Rhinolophus ferrumequinum: one gene and its partner. The protein of the gene in region 2 interacts with the protein of the main gene of each other region in a biochemical or structural test. Links are inferred from orthologs where the notes say so. Each region holds a gene or a part of one and is shown on either strand. Other genes may lie near its edges.

Region 1 (12,049 bases), on a different chromosome or scaffold from region 2:
CGACCCTGGGGTCAGAAACAGCTGTGGGGGTCCAGGTTTCAGGTTCAAAGGCAGGGGTAAGCACCCAGCACAGCTCACAGGAGCAGCTGTGGAGGGGCTGTGTCTCTGCGGCCTCCTGGAGGCCCAGGGAGAAGGGCAGGCTGGGCTGGAGGCTGCAGCGGGAGGGGACCGTGACACCGTGCTCCCTGGAGCCCAGCCCTGCCCAGCACAGGGGGATTTCCAAGCCTGAGACTTGGGCCAGCGGAGAAACGGGAGGCAGAAGACCAGGAAGGAAGCAGCCTCAGTTTGGCCAGCACCCCACACTCCCAGCCAGGGAGCAAGGCCTCAGTTCACCCAGTCTTCTGGAGGGGGCCCCAGAGTGGATGGAAGAGACAGGGCCAGCCTGGGGGAGAGGACCCCTGCCAGGCTCCTGCGGCAGTCCCTTAGACACCTCCCAGGGCCAGCCCCACATGCACCAATAAGGTGGACACCCCCACTGGCAGAAAAGGTCGCCTCTCTGGACCCCTGCTCCCCTGTGAGGGGCAGACCCCATATCCACACTACAGCTCTGCAGAGCTGAGCTTCCAGGGCAGGCCGTGACCCCATCCAGAACTCGGCCAAGGACACGCGAGGTTGTCACCACAGAGGACCTGAGGTGGCGGGGGACACCTGGGACTCTGCCCGCTGCAGCTGACAGACAGGGGGTCAGTGGGCTGAGAGCACCATCTCTGCGTGATGGCAGCCACAGAGACCCAGGAGGGCCCTGGTCCCCACACAGCCCAGATGGCCCCACCTGAGGCCTCCCTTCCACATCCAAGCTCCCGTCCTTTCAGACTCACACACAGGGGGCCAGAAGAGCATCCCGAACTCCCATGCTGCAGGGCCTGCCTGGCTCCCCAGGCTAGCCCCTGCTTTCACCCAGCCAAGGCCTGAAGACGACCCATCACCCAGGGCTGCCTGAGGCCGCTGAGCCCCCCAGGCAGTCCCCAGAGGTCCTGCTTCCCCGGCCCCTCCCCCCAGCCTGAGGAGCCTGCGTCCCACAGCACACAACAGAGCATGCTGTCTTCCACTGCGGGTGGGGCGCGGGGGGCACCACAGGCCCAGCCCCGCGAGGCCAGGACAGAGGGGACGCAGGGACAGGTGCCAGAGCCCCAGGATAAGGGCATAGGCTCTCCGTGGGATGCAAGACGCTGCCCACTTTTGGCCTAGAAGCCTGGGGGAGGGACAAGGTCGGCTTGGGGGTCGGGGGGAACTCCTCCTAGCCACTCTGAGGCTGCCTCCTGGGCCGGCCTCACCGGGTGGGAGAGCAGACCTCGGGAGCAGTCTCCACTGACCCTCGGAGAAGGCCACCCAGGCACCTCTGGTGGCATCTTGCCCCGACCTCAGAATTCCTGGCAAGATCCCACTTAACCTCAGACTTGTGGCCGCCCCGCCCCGCCTACCACCCCCGCAGACTCGCCCTGGTGAGGAATCTGCTGCAAGCAGGGCCCTTGGAGCTGAGCACAGCCCAGGGCCCAGGAGGACCGAGGGGCTCCCACGGCCACAGCACTCCACAGCCAGTCCTTCTCCGTGGGACGGCCCTAAGTGTGTGCCCAGAGGCAGAGGGTACCCCCCCACCACCACACAACAGGGAGTTGGCAGAGAGAGCTGGCACACAACAGGGGAAAAAGGGCTGTCCCCCAATTCCTCAAAGAGCCCTCCCCAGGCTCAGACGCTGCAGGCTCCAGGACAAGGGGGGCTCAGTCCTCCACACCCTGCCACAGCTCTGGGGGGTGACCAACACTTCCGGGGGCCACTGACCCCAGATGGCACAGCTGCGGAAGGCAGAGGGAGACTCAGCCAGGCCAAGCGCCCACCCCCTGCCTCGCAATCCCCGCACCGCACCAGCCAGGGCCCACAAGCCATGTGGCCCAGAGATGGAGTGGTCTGGGCCACGGCCAGGAGAGCTAAGTGCCAAGGCCAGCCCGGCAGCCCTGGGAGAGGGAGCGGTGAGCCCAACACCCTCACCTTCCACCTCACAGCCCATGAACTGGGCTCAGGTCCCTCCCTATACCACCACTCACCAAACACACACTCGCAGCTCAGGGCCAGCCCAGCATAGGCCCAGAGACCCTGCCCAGCTTTGCTGGGTCAGAACAGCCATGACCTGCATGGGAAAAGGGGGGCACAGGACCCTCTACCCACTTGGCCAAAGACACTGGTGGGGAGTGGGTCCTGGTCCAGCACACGTGGCCCCACCGCAGACTCCTGCTTCCCTTACCAGGTGGTCAGCTGTGGTCAGGAACAGAAGCTCAGGCAGCTCAGGGCACAGCCCACAGTGGGGTGGGGGTGGCCAGAGCAAGAGGCCCAGGCTCACAGCCCCTGATCTGAGGCCACACTGTCATGGGGTGGGGGGCACTGCTCCAGTCCAGCGGGAGCTGCCCTCCCTCCCCCCACCTCCACTCCGTCCACAAGGCCCCTAGGTGTCCTTTGCAATAAGTATGAGTAATGGGTCACACCTCCCAGAAGGGGTTTATCCCACTGAATAAATGACTCTGGGATTTAGAACTTGGAGCTCTGCAGACAGATCTCAGGCGAGGAGAGAAAGGAGGCAGCTGTGGGGGTCCTCCCGTTCCTGAGGCAACCCGGCCACCAGCCAGAGATCCAGGGAGAAAACAAGGTAAACCTCCCCCATTCTGTGACTTGGGGTGACTGCGCCTTCCAACGTCACCCCAATCCATCCCCTGTGCTGGCCCACCTGGACCTCACAGCTGCCCACTGCCTCCCACCCAGTGCTATTCCCTCCCACATCCCAGCCATTTCCAGAAAGTCTAAAGAACTCTAGGCCTGTTCCAAGACTCACACTGGCCTGTCCACCTGCCTCCTTGGCCAGAACACTCACAGGCCCTACAAATCCACCAATAGGCACAGCCTCCGCTGGGAGTGCATGTGGGTGGGGGTCTCTGCAGCTCGTGGGCAACCCACAGTGGCTAGCAGGCACCAGAGAAGCAGCAGGCCTCTTGGGATGCACCAGAGCATGTTCTGAGGGCAGCAAGCTGGGGGTCTAGGGGACCTCCATAGGAAGGAGCAGGGCCCTGAATCTGAAATATGCCAAGGTGGGACTGCAGGGAGGCTCTGGGACACAGACACAAGCACCCTGCTGGCTTCGGTTTGTGACAGACAGCATGTGTGACTTTGGTAACTTTTGTTAAAATAATAAGCTAAGTTAAAAACGAAAGTCCCCTTTCACACAGCCAATAATCACAGTCAAAGCAACCCAGACCCAGAGGAGCAGGGACTTCGTGAGACTGCCCAGGAGGGCAGGGAGGCTGGACCAGACCCCCCCCCCCAACAGGGCCCCACCTTCAGAGCCCAGCAGGAAGGCCAGCAGGCAGGGCAGGGAGGGGGAGGGGAGTCCAGCCTTCCCAGCCTGCCAGGGACACACCCTCCCCTCTGCCTCTCCTTGGGGAGGGGGGGCCCAAGAGAGTTCAGTCGTCCAAATGTCCCTCGGGTCCCTGAGAGTTGCAGAGTAGCACCAGCCAGACCTGACCTGGGCCACCCAGTGCCCATGCAAACCACAGAATCCAGGAAATGGCCTCAATGTCAAAGTCCCAAGACGCAGCCACACACAAGGGCACGGCTGCCTACCCGCCTGACGGCTGCCTACCCGCCTGACGGCAGCCAGGCACACCTGCTGGGCCCTCGGGCGCCCCCTCCCCAGCACTGCAGAGCCTGGGACTCAGGTTACCGGTGGCTGCGCTGGGTCAGGCCTGGAGCAGAGAGCGGCCTCCAGCTCTGGTGCTCACAGTCCCCGAGGCCCAGCCCAGTGCAAGTGGGAAGTCCCCTGAGCAGACAGCCACCGAGGCAGGCAGACAGCAGACCCAGGGATGCTGACCCCGACGCTGCTCCAAGTGCTGTGTGGCCTGGCAGGAACAGAGGCCTAAAGGCAAGCAGCCCCAGGGCAGGGGTTGGCAGAGTGACCCTTGACCTCTGCCCTATCCGCAGTACACTGGAGAGGGCCGGAAGGCTTCCTGAGCTTCCAGAAACTTCTGCAGATCCCAGCAGACAGGTCTGTGCCCCTGTCCTAAATCACCTCATTTCCTCTTTTCCCCCATGCTAACTAGGGTACCCACTGGGTGGCTGGGAGTCCAGCCCCAGCCCTTCCCCAGTGACACACCTCTGGCTCCAGTCCCCATAAATCACAAGCCCTCCAGGTCAGCCTTAAGCACCTGACCTCCACAGGAAGGAGCAGGGCCCTGAGTCTGAAAGATGCCAAGGTGGGACTGCAGGGAGGCTCTGGGACACAGACCTTGACCCGCCGGTTACACACACTCAGGCACATAGGACCAGGCCCAGGGTGGGCAGAGACGCCAGGACACTCGCCAGACGACCGTCCCTAGCTCTCAGGCTGCTGGGGGCAGTCTGGGCCCATGCGTCCCCAGCTCAGCGCGCAGACAGGTGGACACACACCACAGCAGGGCGCGAAGGTACGTCCCGGTTCGCAGCCCCAGGATCCCTAAAGCCCTGTCCGTGCGCAGACAAGTGCGGACCCCGCGCGCGGCCCACTGACCCGAAGTCCTGGTCCATGGACTTGAAGAAGAATTTGTAGGCGTGCACCGGCCGGTTGCTGAGCACGTTCTTGAAGTCGGCCAGCGTGACGCGCTCGGGCGCCACGGGCAGCTTGACCAGGTACGGCGTCTCCTCCTCGTCCATGTGATAGATGATCTTGGTCTCCGCCATGGCGCGGCGACGGCGGCGGGCGCGGGGCCTGCGCGGCGCTCAGGCCCGGCCCGGGGCTCGGACGCGGGCGCCTCCCCGCCGCTGGCCTGCGCCCCGCCCGCCTGCCGCTCCCGGCCCGGCCACCCCGGCCCCGCCCGCCCCGCCGCCCCCGGCTCTGCGCGCGCTCCGGCTGCTCACCCGCGGCCCGCGGCCGCCCATCCGCCCCTGGCCCGGGACGCAGGCAGGGAGCGCGCGAGGCCCGGCCGCGTCCGTGCGCCCTGCCGCCCCCCTCGGGCCGCGCAGTTCCAGGGACCGCCCGGCGCCCGGCTAAGCGCGCGGCCCGCGGGGGGCGCCCGAGAGCTCAGCGGCGCCTGACGTCACCGGGCCGCCTGCGGCTCGGGGCGGGGCTGCGCAAGCGCGGGGGGCGGGGCGTGCGTGGGGGGTGGGACCACGGTGCACGGGACGAAGGTGCGTGCACCCGCGCGCGGCCCCCCAGCGCGCTTTCCCTGAGTCCCGAGCCCCGCGGCGGGGCGTTCGGGGGCGCCCACAACACTCGCGGGCCGCAGCCCCGCTGGGCTGTTGGACGGACAGGGGTGCGCCCCCCGGGGAGTTGGGTGGAGACCCACCTGCACTTCGCGCCCCCAGCTGTCAGAAGGGAACCCCCCCGGCCCCCGCCCCGCCCCGCCGGGAGCCCTCCAGGGAGTGTGGTTCGGCGGGGTTCCGGCCCTCCACCCCCTCGCAAGGGCTCCCGGGTCTGTGGGTGCTCAGAGGCCGGAGGCTTCCTAGTCGCAGCTTCCTGGTCACATCATCGGGCTGCAGGGGGCCTCGGAGGAAGCTGAGGACACTGTGTCGCCTCCCGGATCCGAGGACACCTGGTCGCTTTGCGCCCCCGCGCCAGCTCCGACATCGCGCGCCCTCTGCTGGGACCCACGGGGGCTCAGAGAAACACGGGCCAAGTGAATGGGCGGTGGAGTGGGGAGTGCGGGTGTATGTGATGCCAAGATAACAGGGGTCAGCACACAGCTGTGTGCGGGTACGTGTGCACAGAGGTGCCCAGGCATGGTGCTTCAGGTAGCAGGTAATGGCATTTTTTTCTTCCCCGGCCGCTGTCAATCAAATCAGCCTGGGATCCTCCATGGGTCGAGAGAGATCTGAAGCCACGCCCTTCAGGCTGTGAAGGGTCAAGCCCTCCACTGGGGTGAGTGGCTCTCCCTCCCCCTTACCCCAAGAGGAAGACTGGAGGCCACCAGAGGGAGTCCTACGCTGGCGAGTGACAAGAGGAGCGTCCCTAGGATGGGACCCGAGGTGATGGGGATGGGGGGTTGTGATGCCCTGTGACCCTTTCCCAGCACCCACCTTGAAGATGGCTGGAGCCTGGGACTCGCCCCTATGCCTGGTCATGACCATCCTCAGGCAGTGGGCCACCGCAGGAAAAGACCCCACCAGTCCACCAGTGACTGGAGGATCCAAAGTTTGGACCTAAGTCCCTGAGCCCAGGCTGGGGACCAACCCCAGGCCAGCCTAGGCCAGGGGTCCTGCCCTCCATTCCCCTAGGCTCTGATGGGGAGAGCGGACAGGGCTCTGTGAGGTTGGCACCCATTCTGCAAAGCCTGGGCCTTCTCCCTTAGGTCTCGGTTTGCCCGGAGGTAATCTGAGGAAGCCAGGCAGGGCAGCCTTAGACGGAGGGTCCACCACGGCTCTCTGCTGTGTGTCCAGGGAAAGAGGGAGACAATGCGTGCCCTGAGAGCTCATGGGAGACCAGCACCCCCCAGACCAGACACAAATGGCTGCTGGTCACACAGATCCAGGGCATCTGATGCCCCTGAGCTTCTCGCCTCCACCTGACAGTCCAAGTCACAGGAGAGAAGCTGGTAGCCAATCCCAGCTGATACCGCTGTGGTCAGGCCAGGCTCTGCAAGGAGGGGTGAGTTTGTGGACAGAGCCGGAGCCCTTACAGGAGGGACCTTGCCCGTGGCAGTGGTGGGCATTGTGGGGCCAGGAGTCACTGGGCTGGGAGGAAGGCACATTCTCATACAAGCCACAGCCCCCAAGCCAGCGTGCCTTCTTGCCTTGTCACTGTGGGTCCTTGGAGAGAGGGTGTGAGCAAACAGCTACTTGAGTAGCTGTCCCGGCATTTCATGTGACAATCCTACTCACACCAGTCTGGACTCAGAGTAGGACTCGAGCTTAGATTCCTGGCCGGCTTTTCCCAGGCACCTTCTAAAATAACCACTAAGAGTGGAGCTGCTGAAAAATTAGTGACCGCCCCCCCAACCACCATGTAAGTAAGAGGTGCTTCTACCCTGCTCTCATCTCCTGCTGGCTGGTGACCTGGGATGGAGGGCTGGCCTTCCCCCAACTCACCTCCCACCCCCGTTTCTGGGATCTACTAAGTAATAAAGCTGGTGACTTTACTTCCTTTTATGACTTTATTGACACTATGCCTTCATGAAAATGACTCCAGGGTTTTCATTTCCCCAAAGTGGGAGCTTGCATGCCAACCTGTGTGGGTGGCTGCTGCCTCTTCATACAAGGGTTTTCCAACATAGGGTGACAGTCACCCTTTCCTGCCTGCTGCTGTCCTGGGAGGGCTCTGGAGGATGGGGTCAGGATTGGGGACACAGGCTTCCTCCTCCCACAGCCCCTTCCCACCCCCTCCATTGGGGGTGTCACCTGTCTGCAGGTGTTCCTGCCTCCTCCTGCTACCTCCACCTGCATCTTTACATATCTAGTCCCATCTTGGCATCTGCTTCTCAGGGGACTGAATTAACACTGCCCTCCTCTGTCCCCATGTCCACCAACATGCGCCCCTCCCCCACGTCTAGACAAACCCTCAGGAGACGACCTGAAAGTAAGTGGTGAGAAACTGGCTGCAACTCCGCTCTTCCAAGGACACCAGCACCCAGACCCCCACTCCAAGAACTGGGCAGTGAGAGTGGGAGTTCAGGCGAAGGACAGCTTTGGGGTCCCATGGCCCAGCTCTGCCCTGGAAGTAGAGAGGGAGCAGCAGAGGTATACCTGGACCAAGTCTAAAAACCAGGTATGGTCTTTATTGTGAAGGCAGTAAGTTACCAGGAGGAGTAAATGGGGGTGTTGGCAGTGGCCACACAGGCCACTTGAGAACCATTATCAGCCCTCCCCCATCCTCAGATAAAACAGAAGCCAAAAAATGACGCAGCCCCAGACTCCAGCCCAGGGAGGGGCCAAAAGTCACAAGGAGCCCAGTGACTGTCAAGACAGCTTTTAGGAAAGGAGGCTAGAGCAGGCTGGGAAGCAGAGAAAGGGCCCCAGGGTAGCCCCAGGTGGCCGGACACAGCACCGAGGGCTGGGGGTGTGCAGTCCTCAGGTCCCCATGCAGAGCTGATGGCAGCCTGGCTGGGGAGGACAGCTCCCCACAAGAAGGGGAGAAGAAGGGAGGCGTGCCAGCCCTGAGGCTGATCCCCACTCCTAGAGTGTCTCCTGGCCTGCCCCTGCAGAGGCGGGGCTCTCCCATAGGGCAGAAGCCTGCAGAGCCTGAGGGCTAGGTTGTGTGGGGGGAGAGGGGGAGACAGGGCCAGCAGGGAGTGCCTGCACAGCCGGTGCAGCCCCAATGCTTGGCAGAGTCCCAGGAGCCCACTGTAGCTTGGAGGATGAGGGTGGCTCCCTAGAGAGATGTCTGGAGGCAACCTTGCTCTGCACCTGATCAGGCCAAAGTTCCAGGATGGGCGGGACCAGCCGCCAAAAGGGGGGCCAGGTGAGCTGCATGATGGTCAGTCAGGAGGATGTGCTGCTGGCCAGGAGCTGCCAGCCAGCCAGGAGCCCCAATCACTTTATTTGCAGTACTCCTTCCTGAACTCTGGAAACCAAGGGAACAGGTGGGTGGCTGCCCTCTGCCTCTCCTTTGTAAGGAGGGATACAAGGCGGACATCTGGCAGGATGGCCCCAGGGTTTCTGCAGCAGTCAGGTGGCAGGGGATTCCTGCCCGCGGGGCTGGCTGGTGCCTTCTGAGAGTGGGTGGAGAGGGGCATGGGCTTGGCTCTGACGGGCAGGGGCAGTCTCCCTCCCAGCCACTCACCTCTGTCCAAGTCGATGTTCTTAGCCGGCAGAGGGCTGTGAGCCAGCTCAGCCCTTTCCTTCAGGATGTTGTTTTTGTAATCTGGTGCAGGGAGAGAGCAGGGTGAGCCGCCCCCTCAAGATGTACCTCCCCCAGCCCAGGCCCAGGCCCAGGCACCTCACTCGGAGCCTTGGTGTGTGTGTAGGAGGCCCTCACCTAGTTGGATATCCTCACTCCTGTAAAAAGCCTGGTCCCCTGTGACCACAGCAAACTCTGCCATGTTCACGTCCTTCCTGGAGGGGAGGGTGGGGGGAGGTTAGAGCGGCGGATGGGGTGGGGCCTGGCCCCCTAGGACAGCCGGGAGGGGGCACTCACCCCTTTGATTTCCCCGACTTCTTGTCTGAGTATTCGTAACCTGGGGAGGGAGACTCGTGTTGGGGGTAGTCTCGCCCCCTCCCCAGCTCTGAGGAACCTCCCGGCACCGAGGCTCATTGGGCGCCCTGCTGGCCCTCGGCTCCGGCAGCGCACCCCAAGCCCCGCCTCCGATCCGGAAAGGCTTCCCAGTGCCGGCGTCCCCGCTGCGCTCGCGCTGGCTCACCTCCACGGCGGCGCTGCCGGGTGGCCAGGATGACCGTGATGAGCAGCAGGATGAAGAGCAGCAGGGTAGCCAGCACGTAGCCCAGCTGCTGGAAGAAGTGAGCTCGACTCTCCGGGACTATGACGTTGATGACGCTGCGGCCACGTGCTAGCGTGGGGTCTGCGAGGGCCGTGTAGGGGCGGCGTCAGGGAGGGTGCTGCGCAGCGGACCACCCGGTGCACCCCCACGCAGGCCCCCCCTGCTGCGCCACGTGGCTCGGGAACACAGGCAGCCTCAGCGGGGGGGGGCGGGGGGGGCGCCTCCCCTCCGCTAACATCCTCGTCCCCTATGGGGGACAGAGAGGAGCGGGGCCTCGCCGTCCCCAGCCCCTAGGCCGTCCCCAGGAGCCCAAGGCGGCCTCCTGCACCTGGGGCGGGGGCGCTGCTGTGGCTGGAGCCGTTGCCTGGGGAGTCCCGCGGGGGCGGCTCGGGGGCCGGCTCAGTGACTTTCAGGTGGAAGACGCGACGCTCGTGCAGGCCGCAGTAGTGGTGATGCAGGTGGCAGGAATAGGTGCCCTCGTCGGCCGGCTCCAGCTGGTCGATGCGCAGCGAGAAGTCGCCGCGCGCAAAAGCGTCCGCCTCCACCGCCACGCGGTCGCGCAAGAAGGGTGGCCCGTAGGCGCGACGCTCGCCCGACGCGTACAGGTCGAGCAAGCGGTCGGCGCGGTCGTGCGGGACCCCGGGCGGCTGCCGGTCCCAATGCACCACCTGCTGCGCCTCCTCCAGGTGCCGGTCGGTCCACACGTGAGCGCGGTTCACACAAGTCAGCAGCGCGGGCGCGCCGCGCTCCACCACCAGCACCTCCTTCTCGCCGTCCCAGTGCGCGCCGGCGACCCGGGCTGGGGGCGCAGGTCGGTCAGCGGGGGGAGGGGTCAGGGGGGGCAGCTAGGACTGCGGGTCGGGGGAGGGAGCGAGGAGCGGGGCGTCCACAGTGGCGGGGATAGGTGAGGACAGGCGGGGGTGGAGTCCGGGGGGGAGGGGCGCACTCACGGTTGTCAGTGACCTCCAGGCGGATGGCCAGGGTTTCATAGAGGTGGCAGTAATGGTGGTGCAGGTTACAGGTGTACAGCCCCTCGTCTGTCTCCCCGACCGCTGCACACCCGCGTGGAAACCAACCATGAGCTCCGCGGCCGCCGGCCCAGCCCCCGAGCCCCCACCGCGGTTCAAGGTCCCATACCGCGGATGATCAGCGAGAAGTTGCCGTCGTGGAAGGCGGAGGGCGACAGCAGGAGGCGGCCGCGGTCGCGCGGCTCGTACACGCGCTGCTCGCCCGCCGAGTACATGTCCACAAGTCGACGTGCGGGGCCGCCGGCGGGGCCGCCGCTGAGGTCCCAGTGCACCACGCGCTGGCGGTCGTGCAGCCGGTCTTGGGTCCATACCATGCGCGGGCTCTGGCAGCGCAGCAGGGCCCGGGCGCCAGCTGCCCAGCTCACTGCGGACTCGGACACCACGGAGCTGCCCGCTGTCGAGGACCCAGATGGCCCTGGTGGGGAGGGGAGTCACTGGGGGACGGGTGGGACCCAAGGGGTCAGGTACAGGGTGGGATGGCCGGATGGGAAGGGATCTGTCGTGGTTCCAAGGGGGGAGGGTGCTCACTAACCTGAAGACAGAAGGACCACAGAGCCTAGAAGGAGAGGAAGAGTGAGTCACACGGGGCAGGGGGCCACCCATACAGGGGAGGGGCTTGGCCCCCTAGTCCCTTCTTTGGTCCTCCCTGAAGTGGGTGATAATGACACCCACTAAGTGGGTGGAGATAAAGCCAGAGAAGCCAGGAGCACACAGATGGGGTCTCCTGTAGCCCCTCCTGAGGCAGGCACGCCTCCCACTTAACCCTCAGCCACCTGCTGGGCTGCAGGAACGAGCCTGTCCTTTTGGAAGTGAGTGGTAGGACCAGGGTTAGCACCTCCCACAGGCGGCTCTGGAATGCATGCTTGTCACCAAAGGCCAGCCTCAGGAATGGTGGCCACCATCACCATCACTGCAGCAAGGCTGCCAGAGTCTGATGCCCGAGGGAGGCTGGTTGTGGGGGCTCCTGCACGTGTATTCCCGATGTGGAATTCACCTGCTGAGGGCCACCCCACCTGAGCCCTTGATGGTCCTCTACCTGCTGGAGCCCCACCTCACCCAGGGCTGCAGCCCCGTTGGTCTGAAGCACAAGGAAGCTGGATGTGGGGGATAACCCTACCATCTGCCACCCCACAAGCCAAGTTCCTGCTCCAGAGATGTGGCTGAGTGCCCAGGGCAGAAGGAATGTGCCGGGTCAGCAGTCCAGCCCTGGGGGCGGGCTCAGGGGCCTGGGAGCCAGGGGGAACTGGAACAGACCGTGCAGGCCTCACTGTTCCCAGGCCCCCCACAATCCCCAACCTACTCCCCTCCTGACAACTGGGAAAAGCGCAGGCTGAGGGGCTTCCCAGAGCAGGACTGAGGGACCCCAGTAGCTCTGTCTCAGCTTGGCTTTCTGGCCTCTGGCTCTGGAGGACATCTGCAAAACTCACAGCCTCCTGGGTCCTGGGGGCCCCAGAACTCATCCCGAGCTGTTCCCTCTGAGGTCCCCCCACAGCCGTCCCCTTCCCAGCGGTGGCACCCCACCCCTCTGGGCTCAGCTCAGAGAGGCGGATTTGCCTAAAATGCAAACTCACTTGGACCCACTCGCGGCTTGCGCCTCCTGCCCCCACTCCCACCCCAACTCACTCTGCAGGAGCA
Region 2 (12,141 bases):
CAATCATTCAATTGAATCAACTCAATATCAATTGCAGTCCTAAGAGGTATCTTCTCAAATTCTGTATATAAAACATTGAGCAAGATGTAGGGGGCTGCAAGATTGAGCCTTGCTAGTCAGCTCTGAACAGCTGCCTCTCCTGGGCTGGCACTGATCCTCAGAGGGCAACCTTCCACACCTGTGAGCACATCCCTTCCTTCCTTCCTTCCTTCCTTCTTCCTGTAGCATTCTACTACAAGAAGACTCTGCTATCCTGTCTTTCTGTCTTCATCTCCTGTTACCATCATCTACTTACTTGCTCTACTTACCTCACTGCCTCATGGCTCTTGTTTCCTCCAAGCTTCTACTACTTCCTGGTTTTTGCTTGTTCCCTTCTCACCAAATGTCTCTCAGCTTCTGCTAGTATATTTTATACTCAGGCTCCCCAAATAAAATGACTGGGTGGCTACTCAATATCCAGTGGGCACACCTGTTGACAGAGGTCTCATGCCAGACAAATTCATGGCTAGGTCAGATGCTTTCCTATTCTTGGCTCAATCAACTGAGGTGAGGGGTCCTGTGGTACAAGGTACAAGGATGGCAATGTCAGTCTTAGGAAATCCTGTGAATGAACTGTGGGAGTAACAGGTGTTACATTTAGAATAGCCACTGTGAACTTGTTGAGACTCATAAATAAGGTCCCAGACGCAACATCACACCATGCAACCACACATTTATGCAACCATCGCTCTCTCTCTCTCTCTCTCCTTCTCTTACACACACACACACACAGACACACACACACACACACTACATTACCTCATTCTTCATTATGGTTCTCATTATTCTATCCTTCAGTTCAAAAGGTAATCAAGTAGAGTAAAGACCTTATGCAAGACTAAAGATATTCTACAAGACATCAGTGACACAACGCATTGCTTTGGAATACGAGTCTGGGTCAGTGGTCCTCAAACCTGATAATTCAAAAGAATCACCTAGAGAGCTTATAAAAATTAAATCCCCAAGTCCAACACCAGAGATTCTGACTCAAACTTCTGGGGGTAAAAAAATGTTTTTTAAACTCCTCAGGTGATTTTGATGACCATCCAGATTTGGGATCCACTGCTCCAGCTCCCATTTCATTCTTCTAGAAGTTTCCCTGGGAGCTTTCATTACTATGGTCTTGTTCCTGCAGCTTCTTCTGCTAGCTCTGTTGACTGTCATGGCCTGCCAAGATTCTCTGATGGGGAAGGCCTAATACACTGTCGAGTTTACCACCTGCACAGCGGGCTAGAGCAAAGCTCCCACATACCCTCATCTAGATTCCCACTGGTGCAGTTTCAGCAATGGGAATCATATTGTTCCTTGGAAAATTAGAAAAAATACAGGCTGGAAACCTGTATAGGTCTAATATTCATGGCATCATCACCAATCTGGACTTGATATTCCAAGCCTAGGAATTCTGGCGCTTCTTTCACTTTTGGAATGGCTTTTGATAAGACCCAGTAAAGGACAAAAATTAGTGATGTTCACCATGAAGACATCAAGCAGCAGTGCAGTATAAAGGCAAAAATGTTATATAGATCTGGGTTTTAGGCCAGGCTTTGCTACTATAAAAAGGAGCTTATAGCTGGAACCTCAAAGGATTGTTATAAAATTAGAGACAGCGTACCTAAAGCACCTGGTACCTAATAAATGGTAGTCATTCTATTAAAAATATTTTAAGATGCTCAAAATAATCTAAGCATCAATATTTTTGATGCCCAAAATAATCTGAAAAGAATAAATTCTGTGAACCCAGGCATGTGCTAGAGCCAGCTCTTAGGGGATTGTGAAAGCTGAGTATGTGCACCTTTTCCAAACTCCTAATTCAGTGACATTGTGTTGGCTTGAAATCAGCTATATTAGCAATATTTACACCATGGAAACTGGCAAATGTCGAGGGCTTTTTTGTCCTGGAGAACCGGTCATTAAATGTTTACCAGGATATCACTGTAAAAACTCACAACCTCAGCAAAAAGCCAAGGCCACAAAAAAATGCACCTACCGTGTTTCCCTGAAAATAAGACCTAACCAGAAAATAAGCCTTAGCATAATTTTCAGGATGCCATCCCCTGAACATAAGCACTAATGCATCTTTTGGAGCAAACATTAATATAAGACCCGGTCTTATTTTCGGGGAAACACAGTAACTTGGTCTTTCATTTTATCTCTATGATTTGCATCCATATAACCAAAGCAGGATTCTGCCCTCATGATTTTTTGCCTATAGATAACAAAGCATTTCGGTAAATATTATCTTATTCTCACAACACCCTGGGGGAACAAGGGAGGTTAAGTGACTTGCCTGAGTCCAGACAGAAAATCGATGGTGAAAAGCAGGACCAAACCTATCTGTACAAACCACCTCTGCCACCCTTCCTACACATCTGTACTGTACAGACTGGCATTAAAGGCATGGCTAGCAATTACCAACACGGCTTTCACCGCATAACCCAAACAGCCAGTCTCTTTCTACAGACTGTGGTCCCAGTGCTCTGTCTTTTGGGTATAGATTTGACTCCTCAAAATGGCCCACCCTCTGCACTTTGAGGTTTTTCCCTCAGGATTGCAGATGGTCTTTTATTAATCAACTTCCTCCGCGTTCTTTCTCCCTCTAGTCCAATGGCATGTGTTTGAAAAAAAGAGTTGGTCAGAGTTTGGGTTCTGTTCTGACTCTAAGAGAGGCAAGTGGCATCATAACCTATCAACATGTGTTTTTATTTGTGACCCTTTCTCTGGACTCCCCAAGGCCAGAGACCCAAGAGTTGTCTCTCTCTGTGGCCTCATCTCCATAATATTATGCTTTGAGAATGAATGAATTATCCTTTTGGTAAACCATCTCTAAAGTGGCTCCCAGAGATCCTTACCCTCCAATGGGGGGTTTTCATGCCCAGATGAAACCCCTGCTGCCCTTTGAGTGTGGGTAAACCTAATGACTTGTTTCTAATGAATAGAATATGGCAAACGTGATGGGATGTCACTTCCAAGATTAGGTTACAGAAAGACTATGACTTCCATCTTGACTGCCATGTTTTGTGCTTGCTCGCTCTCTCTCCCCTTCTCTTTCTCCCTCTGAGCACTTGCTGTGGAGGAGCAAGGTGCCATGTTTTACATGGCCTTAAGAGAAACCTACATGGCAAGGAACTGATGTCTGACCAACAACCAGTGAGAACCTGAGGCCTGCCAAAAGCCACGTGATGAGTTGGAAATGCATACTCTCAGGCCTGCCAATAGCCACATGAGTGAGTTTCCAATCGAACCTTGAGCTAACATAAGTCCCAAGACGCTGATTGTAGTCTCATGAGAGACCCCAAGCCAGAGGACCCACTAAGCAAACCGATTCCTGACACACAGAAACTGTGAATATTAAAATTTTGTTGTTTTAAGCTGTTAAATTTTGGGGTCATTTGTTATATGACAATAGATAATACAACCCTCAAACAACAAAGGAAATGGGAAAATGGGAAAACATTTTCACCTCTAGGTGTGCTAGACCCCACCCAGTAGAGGTGATTTACATCTCTACTGGGTGGGGCCAGCACACCTAACAGGACTTTAGCATGGTTCTCCCCTTATTCAATCCAGACATCTCTAACTTTCATAACACTTGAAAGTCTGCATTAGGGGTAAGAATGTTCCCATTTTAGGAGTGATCCAACACCCCAAACTAAATTGAGAAGAAGTCAACGGCAACCTGGCGGCTGGAAATTCCAAGTCCTTCATGTTATGAAGTCACAAATTGGTAAAAGAGAGGTCAGAAAGAGAAGTACATGCTAAAAGCAGCCCTTTCTGGTCTTGCATGAGTAATTCTTGCTGCTGAAGTTTCACTACAACCACAGGATTGTGGCACCATAAAGGTGGCCATTTTCAAATCTGGCCTGACATCAGAATGTAATTCAACTAAATGAACCTGGGACTTGGCCAAAATAAGTAGCATTTAAATAACTGGGGCCAATGAATAGCATCACTTTTCTGTGGGACCATATGACTATAATATGAAGAAATAAAAGCCTTTGTTGTTTTAAAGGGCAGGGATAATTGGAAGTTTTTGTAGTAGACAGTTACAAAAATTTCCACCCTTCATGCACCAAAGAAGATACCAGTTAGTGGCTTCAGGAGTTGGCTGTGGAAGGTGTTATTTGGAAAAGAAAATTAAATTGATCCTGGACACAATGTGAACCAATGTTACTATGTTTCTCATAAAGCCTAAAACAGAGTACTTAGCCCCTAAATTGTAAACTTACTTTTCTGATCTACTCCCTTTTATTACTTAGCTCCTTGAAATCATAGCATTCTTTATCAGGCAAGGCGTGGAAAGCTACCGTACCCCTCTCACAAACAGCAAATTCTGATTTTCCAGAATAATTCTGGAGTGGGTTTTTTAAAATAAAATAAAAAAATAAAACACTCTCCAATAAATTGGCCTTTGCATCTCTGTTTTTTTTGCACTTGTCTGCCTGGAGCAGACCAAGAAGGACTCCCATCTACGATATTTTCTGACCGGTATGGGTTTTGTTTTTAAAATATTTTATGTCTTTGGTAATTTTTTTTTAAATTTATTGGGGTGACAATTGTTAGTAAAATTACATAGATTTCAGGTGTACAATTCTGTATCACATCATCTATAAATTACATTGTGTGTTCACCACCCAGAGTCAGTTCTCCTTCCATCACCATATATTTGATCCCCCTTACCCTCATCTCCCACCCCCCAACCCCCTTACCCTCTGGTAACCACTAAATTACGTTCCCCAGATTAATTTTCAAAACCCCGTGGCCATCTTGTGGTTACTGATTGTTTTATAATCCCCTCACCTTCCCCCTTACCCCCACCCACCCCCACCCCGCCCATCTAGCAACCCTCAGTTTTTCCTCTTTGTCTCCAAAACTGTTTCTGATTAGTTCATTCACTTATTCTTTTCTTTAGATTCCGCATATATGTAAGATCATATGGTACTTATCTTTCTCTGTCTGACTTATTTCACTTAACATAATGTTCTCTAGGTCCATCTTTGGTAATTTTTTAAGGGCTCTCTTTTTTCTTCTAAATAATTATCCCTATTACCTAACATCAGGGAGTTGTCTGGTCTATAATATGAAGAGTAGAAGCTCATCAACTAAACTGGTTTTAGTTGTATTGGAGATACAGTATTTTATCCTGTCGGTTTTCATTTTAGTTGATGACAGTGCTTGCAATTTCTCCCTCAATAAGCAAAGGTTACTTAGATCGGGGACCTGATGAATAAGCATGAAAATTTGATTTAGAAAAGGAGGATATCCTGAAGCTCCCGGAGAGAAAAAAGGATTTTCAACCCCCCACCACTTTAAATGACAAAGCAAAGCAACAGCATTGTCTTTAAACAACATCTTTGAACACAACATCAATGTTCCCCAATGTTAGGTACGAAGAAGAATAATTTAGAAAGAAAAAGAGAAGCCCTTTAAAAAATGCAAGGAAAGAATGAAACATTTTTAAAGCAAGTATCACTCATCCTTCACATAGGAGACAGAAACCTCCAAAGAAAAAATATCGTCGCGGATGTGAGGGGGAAACGAATGCTTTGGAGGAAAATGATGAGGACTCCTGTTGAGGGACGGATGGAGAATGTGAGGGTCTGATGCCCAAATTGGCGCAAATGATTCAGACCTCCAGACCCATTAACAGGAGTGGGAAAGGACAAAGAACTGTGAATTGGAAGGAAAGATTTCCAGTAAATTTCAGTAATGAAAAATAAATAAAAGAAAAACAGAGGAAGCCGAAGTCTCTCATGGAAAGGAACTCAGTTAATTGTCTTAGATTTCAGGATCATTTTTTTCTTGCTGGAGAAGAGGCTCGCCGGGGGCAGCAGAGGAAGCAACTTCTGCAAACACGAAACCTGATCAGAAATCCCTCAGAGCTCCAGCGCTTGGAATTGAGACTGGCAGAAGGAAGGACTCAGCCAGGAGTAACGTTTTTTAAAGCATACGATTGCTCTGTGTGTGTGTGTGTGTGTGTGTGTGTGTGTGTGTGTGTGTGTGTGTGTGAAAGACGGAGAGAGAGAGAGAGTGAGAGATTTTTCCTTTCTCAACATGTCACTTTCCTGCATGGGAATTCCTGATATTCCTCGCTGTCGGTCGAGAAGGGAGAGGCGTCTCCACCCCTGAGCCGAGTAACTTCTGACCTCGTCGGGAGTAACCAGAGAACGCGCGGGAGCGCGGGGTTCCTTGAGCCCAGCGAAGATTTGACCGGGAACAAAAGAACGCTTGCCAATCAGAAAACGCTACCCAAGAACAAGGATAACCTTTCTTTGTTTTGAAAACTCTTTAATTAGCAAATGCCCTGGTTTCTAACACGCATTAAAACTTTTCTACCCATATTCCAAATAGAAGATCAAATTATTGCTTCTGCAACGAAGATGGGATCCCCAATGGCCACATGCCGAAGAACAAGGGAAATCAGGGCAATTGAAGACTCGCTTTAAACCGTACAGTGTTCTGGGCACTCGATCTCAGGTTACTTTTATAACCAACACCCACCCACCCACCCACCTCCGCCAACACTTAGTTTTCTTACAACCTCACTAAAGCTACACCAGATGCCTACTATACTCTGGGCCGTGCGCGCGGGCGGGGTAGCCTGGGGCCGGGGTGCCCGGCGCACGCAGCTCCCGGGCCCTCTCCCCTAGGAGGGGTTTGCTCTTCCTCCCGCCTTAAGTCTGCCCCCTCAGCACTGGACTCCGATTTCTCCTCGGACGCGGCCCCTCCTCCTTTTTACAACCAGGAGTGGAGGTGAGAGGGGACTATGGCCTCACGTGGTCTGTTTGGGTTTGGGAAAAGAAAAGCGATCCGCGAGGCACACCCCCTTTTTCGCCCATACCGAACCCCACATTTAGGATCTGAATACCAAAAAAACCGGGGCGAAAGCCAGCATTTTCAGCCCAAGCAGGGCTAACGTGACTCCGGGTCACGTCTCTCCGCTCTGGCGCTTCGCTATTCTCAGCTTCTCCCTGCAAAAGTCTATCCCGATGCGCCCTTCTGCTCAGGAATGTGTATTTTAGTATACCCGGAAGAGGAACAAATCTTTCAAGCAAACTCCCTTTCTGGTGCGTGTACCCCACACCCACCCCCTTCCACCCAACTCCGGAGCGAATAAAGGGTAAAAGTTTTTCTTAACTTTTCTCTCCCAGCCCCCTGCCCCTCCCCTCAGGAATCCGCCCAGAGCGTTGCAGACACCGCCTCTCAGGTTCCCTCGCCCGCCCCTTCCGACTTCTACCCAATCCGAAGGTGGTCACACAGAAAACAAAGGCTGCCATTGGGCCACCTAGAACTCGAGAGCCCGCCCCCAGAGTGGTTTGTGAATGGGGGGGAGCGGAGGGGGCGGGGCAGCCCGGAACACTGCAAGCTCGACGCTTCTTCTGGTGAGTTGCGAGGCTTCGAGGCGTTACTCTGCACTCCCTCCCGGCGGGCGGCGGCGGCGGTGGGCGCCTGGACTCACCGGCCAGGGCTGTGCGGAGCTGTAGAGGCCAGGCCCAGGCCGCTTGCACGGGGGCCTCACAGCTTCGGACACAGTGTAACTGGATTTCCAAAGAGAACTCGCTGAGCTCTTGGCTTCAAGGCGCCTATTGGACTCTGAGCGAGAATCAGCCGTTTGGCTGAAACTTGGGGCCGAGCTTTTGGAGCTGAAGAAGGAGCAGGGAGTGAAGGAGGCGGCGGCGAGCAGAGCCTCGAGGCGAGGAGGCGGAGCAGCACCACCGAGGCGGCGGCCTCGACTAGCAGGCGGCGGCGCCCGGCTCTCGCCTGCCGGGGGCTGGACTTGGTGTGGGGGACGCGCGCGTTACTGTGCGCTGTTAAGTCGAGAGACTTGGGCAAACTTCGAAGGGTAACCGGAGACGCTTGTTGCTCCCCGCTGCAAAAAAAGCCGCACCGTTACGTCGCGGCAGGAGAAGGCGGCGCCCCCGGCCCAAGCAGACGAATTTGGGCCCCCCGCTGCCTCGCGACTGCTGGGCGGAGGCGGCTGCGGCGCCCCCGCGGCGCGGGCACCCCAGTTTCTGAGCCCTCGGCTCCGCGCCGCCCACGGCCCGGCCCCGGCGCCGGGAGGACTCTAATGCGCCGGGCGCGGTGGCGCCTCCCGGGATCCAAGCCTCTCCGGGCTGCCTCGTCGCGCTCCTCCGGCTGAGAGCGCTGCTGCACCCGCGGCCGGCGATGCGGGGCCCTGGCGCGGCCGCGTCGCGCTCACCGGTGGGCCTATGCACCCTAGTGCTTTTGGTGCTGGGCGCGCTGCCCGCGGGCGCCCGGGCGCAACCGTACCACGGCGAGAAGGGCATCTCGGTGCCAGACCACGGCTTCTGCCAGCTCATCTCCATCCCGCTGTGCACGGACATCGCCTACAACCAGACCATCCTGCCCAACCTGCTGGGCCACACCAACCAAGAGGACGCGGGCCTCGAGGTGCACCAGTTCTACCCACTGGTGAAGGTGCAATGTTCTCCCGAGCTGCGCTTTTTCCTGTGCTCCATGTACGCACCCGTGTGCACTGTGCTGGATAAGGCCATCCCTCCGTGCCGCTCTCTCTGCGAGCGTGCCCGCCAGGGCTGCGAAGCGCTTATGAACAAATTCGGCTTCCAGTGGCCGGAGCGGCTGCGTTGCGAGAACTTCCCGGTGCACGGCGCCGGCGAGATCTGCGTGGGCCAGAACACGTCGGACGGATCCGGGGGCCCGGGCGGCGGCCCTACCGCCTACCCCACCGCAGCCTACATGCCCGACCTGCCTTTCACCGCGCCGCCCCCGGGGGCTGCTGATGGCAGGGGCCGTTCCGCGTTTCCCTTCTCGTGCCCCCGCCAGCTCAAGGTGCCCCCCTACCTGGGCTACCGCTTCCTGGGCGAGCGCGACTGCGGTGCCCCGTGCGAGCCGGGCCGCGCCAACGGCCTCATGTACTTTAAGGAGGAGGAGAGGCGTTTTGCTCGACTCTGGGTAGGTGTGTGGTCAGTGCTGTGCTGCGCCTCCACCCTCTTCACGGTTCTCACCTATCTAGTGGACATGCGGCGCTTCAGCTACCCCGAGCGGCCCATCATCTTCTTGTCGGGCTGCTACTTCATGGTGGCCGTGGCGCACGTGGCCGGTTTCCTGCTGGAGGACCGTGCAGTGTGCGTGGAGCGCTTCTCAGACGATGGCTACCGCACGGTGGCGCAGGGCACCAAAAAGGAGGGCTGCACCATCCTCTTCATGGTGCTCTACTTCTTCGGTATGGCCAGTTCCATCTGGTGGGTCATCCTGTCGCTCACTTGGTTCTTGGCGGCTGGCATGAAGTGGGGCCACGAGGCCATCGAGGCCAACTCTCAGTACTTCCACCTGGCCGCGTGGGCGGTGCCCGCCGTCAAGACCATCACCATTCTGGCCATGGGCCAGGTGGACGGGGACCTGCTCAGCGGGGTGTGCTACGTGGGCCTGTCCAGCGTGGACGCGCTGCGGGGCTTTGTGCTGGCGCCCCTATTTGTCTACCTCTTCATCGGCACGTCCTTCCTGCTGGCTGGCTTCGTGTCGCTCTTCCGCATCCGCACCATCATGAAGCACGACGGCACCAAGACCGAGAAGCTGGAGAAGCTCATGGTTCGCATCGGCGTCTTCAGCGTGCTCTACACCGTGCCGGCCACCATTGTCCTAGCCTGTTACTTCTACGAGCAGGCCTTCCGCGAACACTGGGAGCGCACCTGGCTCCTACAGACTTGCAAGAGCTACGCGGTACCCTGCCCGCCCGGCCACTTCCCGCCCATGAGTCCCGACTTCACCGTCTTCATGATCAAGTACCTGATGACCATGATCGTGGGCATCACCACTGGCTTCTGGATCTGGTCCGGCAAGACCCTGCAGTCGTGGCGCCGCTTCTACCACAGACTCAGCCACAGCAGTAAGGGGGAGACTGCGGTATGAGCCCTGGTCCTCTCTCACTCTCCCTCCCCCCCCCCACTCCTAGTAGGGAGAAAGGCAAGGTAGGGAAAGAACTTTTGAGTGAGGAGGTTTGTTTCTGTAACCTCCTCCCCCTCCAATGAGAAGTGACCTGGAAGTGAAAACATATATGTAGATGTGGGACGAGGGGTTGGTTTGGAAAGGAGGCCTGGGTGGAAAGACGGTTTGGATGAAAAGACTTGGCAAATCAAAGACTCGCAGAATAATAATGATGATGATAAAAATGACGTTAATCTTGTACGGTACCGATTGACCTGGGCTCATGGAGAAGACTGAGACCAGCAGAGATTTCTGTGAGTTCTTCCTGGCTCCGGCTGAACTGGGTGGGACTGGGAGCGATTCCCCTGCTGCAAGACAAGTGGACTGTCCTCACTCCTGTGAGGCTCGGGTGAAAGGTACAGCTCTGTCTGCGGCGGCCGCTTTGTTGGAAAAAGGGAGGACTCCCTGCGGTGTCCTTGTCAAGCGGTGGTCAAACCATAATCTCTTTTCACTGGGGCCAAACTGGAGCCCAGATGGGTTAATTTCCAGGGTCAGACATTACACTCTCTCCTCCCCAACCCCCTCCCGCCGGTTTTTCTTCCCCTACTCCTTTCAAGTCTTGTAAAATAAGCATTTGGAAGACTTGGGAGGCCTGCCTCCTAGAATCCTAAAAGTAAGGGTGCAAAAGAAATGAAGATAGCGTTTGGAGATGATGCAAAGGAGTTGAGCAGTAGGTATTTCGGCTACTTTTTGTATTTTCTGGACAAAGCATGAGAAAGAAAGAAGGGTGTTTTATTCGGTTTAATACCCTGAAAAGAAGTGATGACTTGTTGCTTTTCAAAACAGGAATGCATTTTTCCCCTTGTCTTTGTTGTAAGAGACAAAAGAGGAAACAAAAGTGTCTCTCTGTGGAAAGGCATAACTGTGAAGACAGCAACTTCTGTTGGCAAAGTAGCACAAATCTAAGGTTTCCCTTTGGATATTTGGTTGAGGTAAACATTCCTTTTTAAGGAAAAGTGAAAGGCAGTGGGCTTCCAAACCCTGGTTGGTCAGAGGTTCTGACTTGGCTAAAGGAAATGCAAGGGGTTTTGTTGTGCTGTTTTACATAAATTCAATTCAGAACACATGATCCAATGGGCTCTGTTAAGATGTTCAGGGAAATCTCTCCCTTCATTTTTTTTCCTTCCTGTAAACCTGCATTCAGGTTTTCTTTGTATTGTTTTCCTCCAATTTGAATCCTTCAAAATAAAAGGAAGAGCATAATGCCTTCAGCTTCCATAATACAGGAAAGTTAAAGAACCACTTTGTCCTGCTTTCTTAGTTCCATAAATCCATTTATAAAACATCATGTGTATGCTGACCCTGTCATTGTGTCAGTGGGTGGGGAGGTGACCTGTAGAAATGATTGTGAATGAAGAGGACAGTTAAAACCATAGCCGCCCCCCTCCTTGTAAGGAAAGTCATTAAAAGGAGGTGAACTTCAAAGTAATTTTGGAGTTCTTTGAAATGTGCTGGATGACTTAAATTTATTAATCTTAAATCATGTACTTTTTTTTTCTAAAATAGAACTCTGATTCTTTTGCATAATAGTCTAAAGCTGAGCAGAGAATCATGGGAGCTAACCTTTCCTCCACCTTTGACACCACCCTCCAAACTTGCACCACTGTCCTATTTCTCAAAACAGTTTTTAAATGCTGTTTGAAACAGTTTTTAAATTATAGAGGGTACTGTCAGGAGTACAAGTTACTTTATGTATGTAATGTTCAGTTGAGTGGAGCTGCTTTTTATATTAAGGTTAACACTGACCTTGTGTTTCTTAAACCTCCAAAACTGTCTCATTTGTCAAATTTTAAGAACTCCCACCACACAGTTTTTTTGGCATCTTTTGTGTTGTATCTCTTGCATGTGAAATTTGTAAAATAGAGACAAGTGCAGTATGTATATTTTGTAAATCTCCCATTTTTGTAAGAAAATATATATTGTATTTATACATTTTTACTTTGGATTTTTGTTTTGTTTTGCCTTTAAAAGTCTACAAGGAAGCCCCACTTTATCACATGTACAGATCACAAATAAATTTTTTTAATACAAAGTGAACGTTTATTTAGTTTTCAGTGCATATATATAATATATAGTAATATATATATACACATATATATTTAAGTATATATATGTGTAATATATAGTAATATATATACA

What was found.
Region 1: the proteins of FZD7 (region 2) and DVL1 form a complex in vitro, tested with the Homo sapiens proteins (2 studies listed by BioGRID and IntAct, with this or other methods). The link is inferred for Rhinolophus ferrumequinum from reciprocal best matches to the Homo sapiens genes FZD7 and DVL1.

The regions. Positions count from the first base shown.
Region 1 is NC_046292.1:490,845-502,893, forward strand, and holds the start of DVL1 (segment polarity protein dishevelled homolog DVL-1), read right to left. Parts: upstream 4,774-12,049; 5' UTR 4,699-4,773; coding exon 4,529-4,698; intron 1-4,528. Other genes in the region: MXRA8 (matrix remodeling-associated protein 8), read right to left, coding at 8,487-8,512, 8,732-8,812, 8,927-9,003, 9,086-9,125, 9,309-9,467, 9,715-10,185, 10,337-10,438, 10,524-10,829 and 2 more. UniProt on the Homo sapiens protein: Participates in Wnt signaling by binding to the cytoplasmic C-terminus of frizzled family members and transducing the Wnt signal to down-stream effectors. Plays a role both in canonical and non-canonical Wnt signaling.
Region 2 is NC_046291.1:29,487,401-29,499,541, reverse strand, and holds FZD7 (frizzled-7), read left to right. Parts: upstream 1-7,222; 5' UTR 7,223-8,202; coding exon 8,203-9,927; 3' UTR 9,928-12,025; downstream 12,026-12,141. UniProt on the Homo sapiens protein: Receptor for Wnt proteins.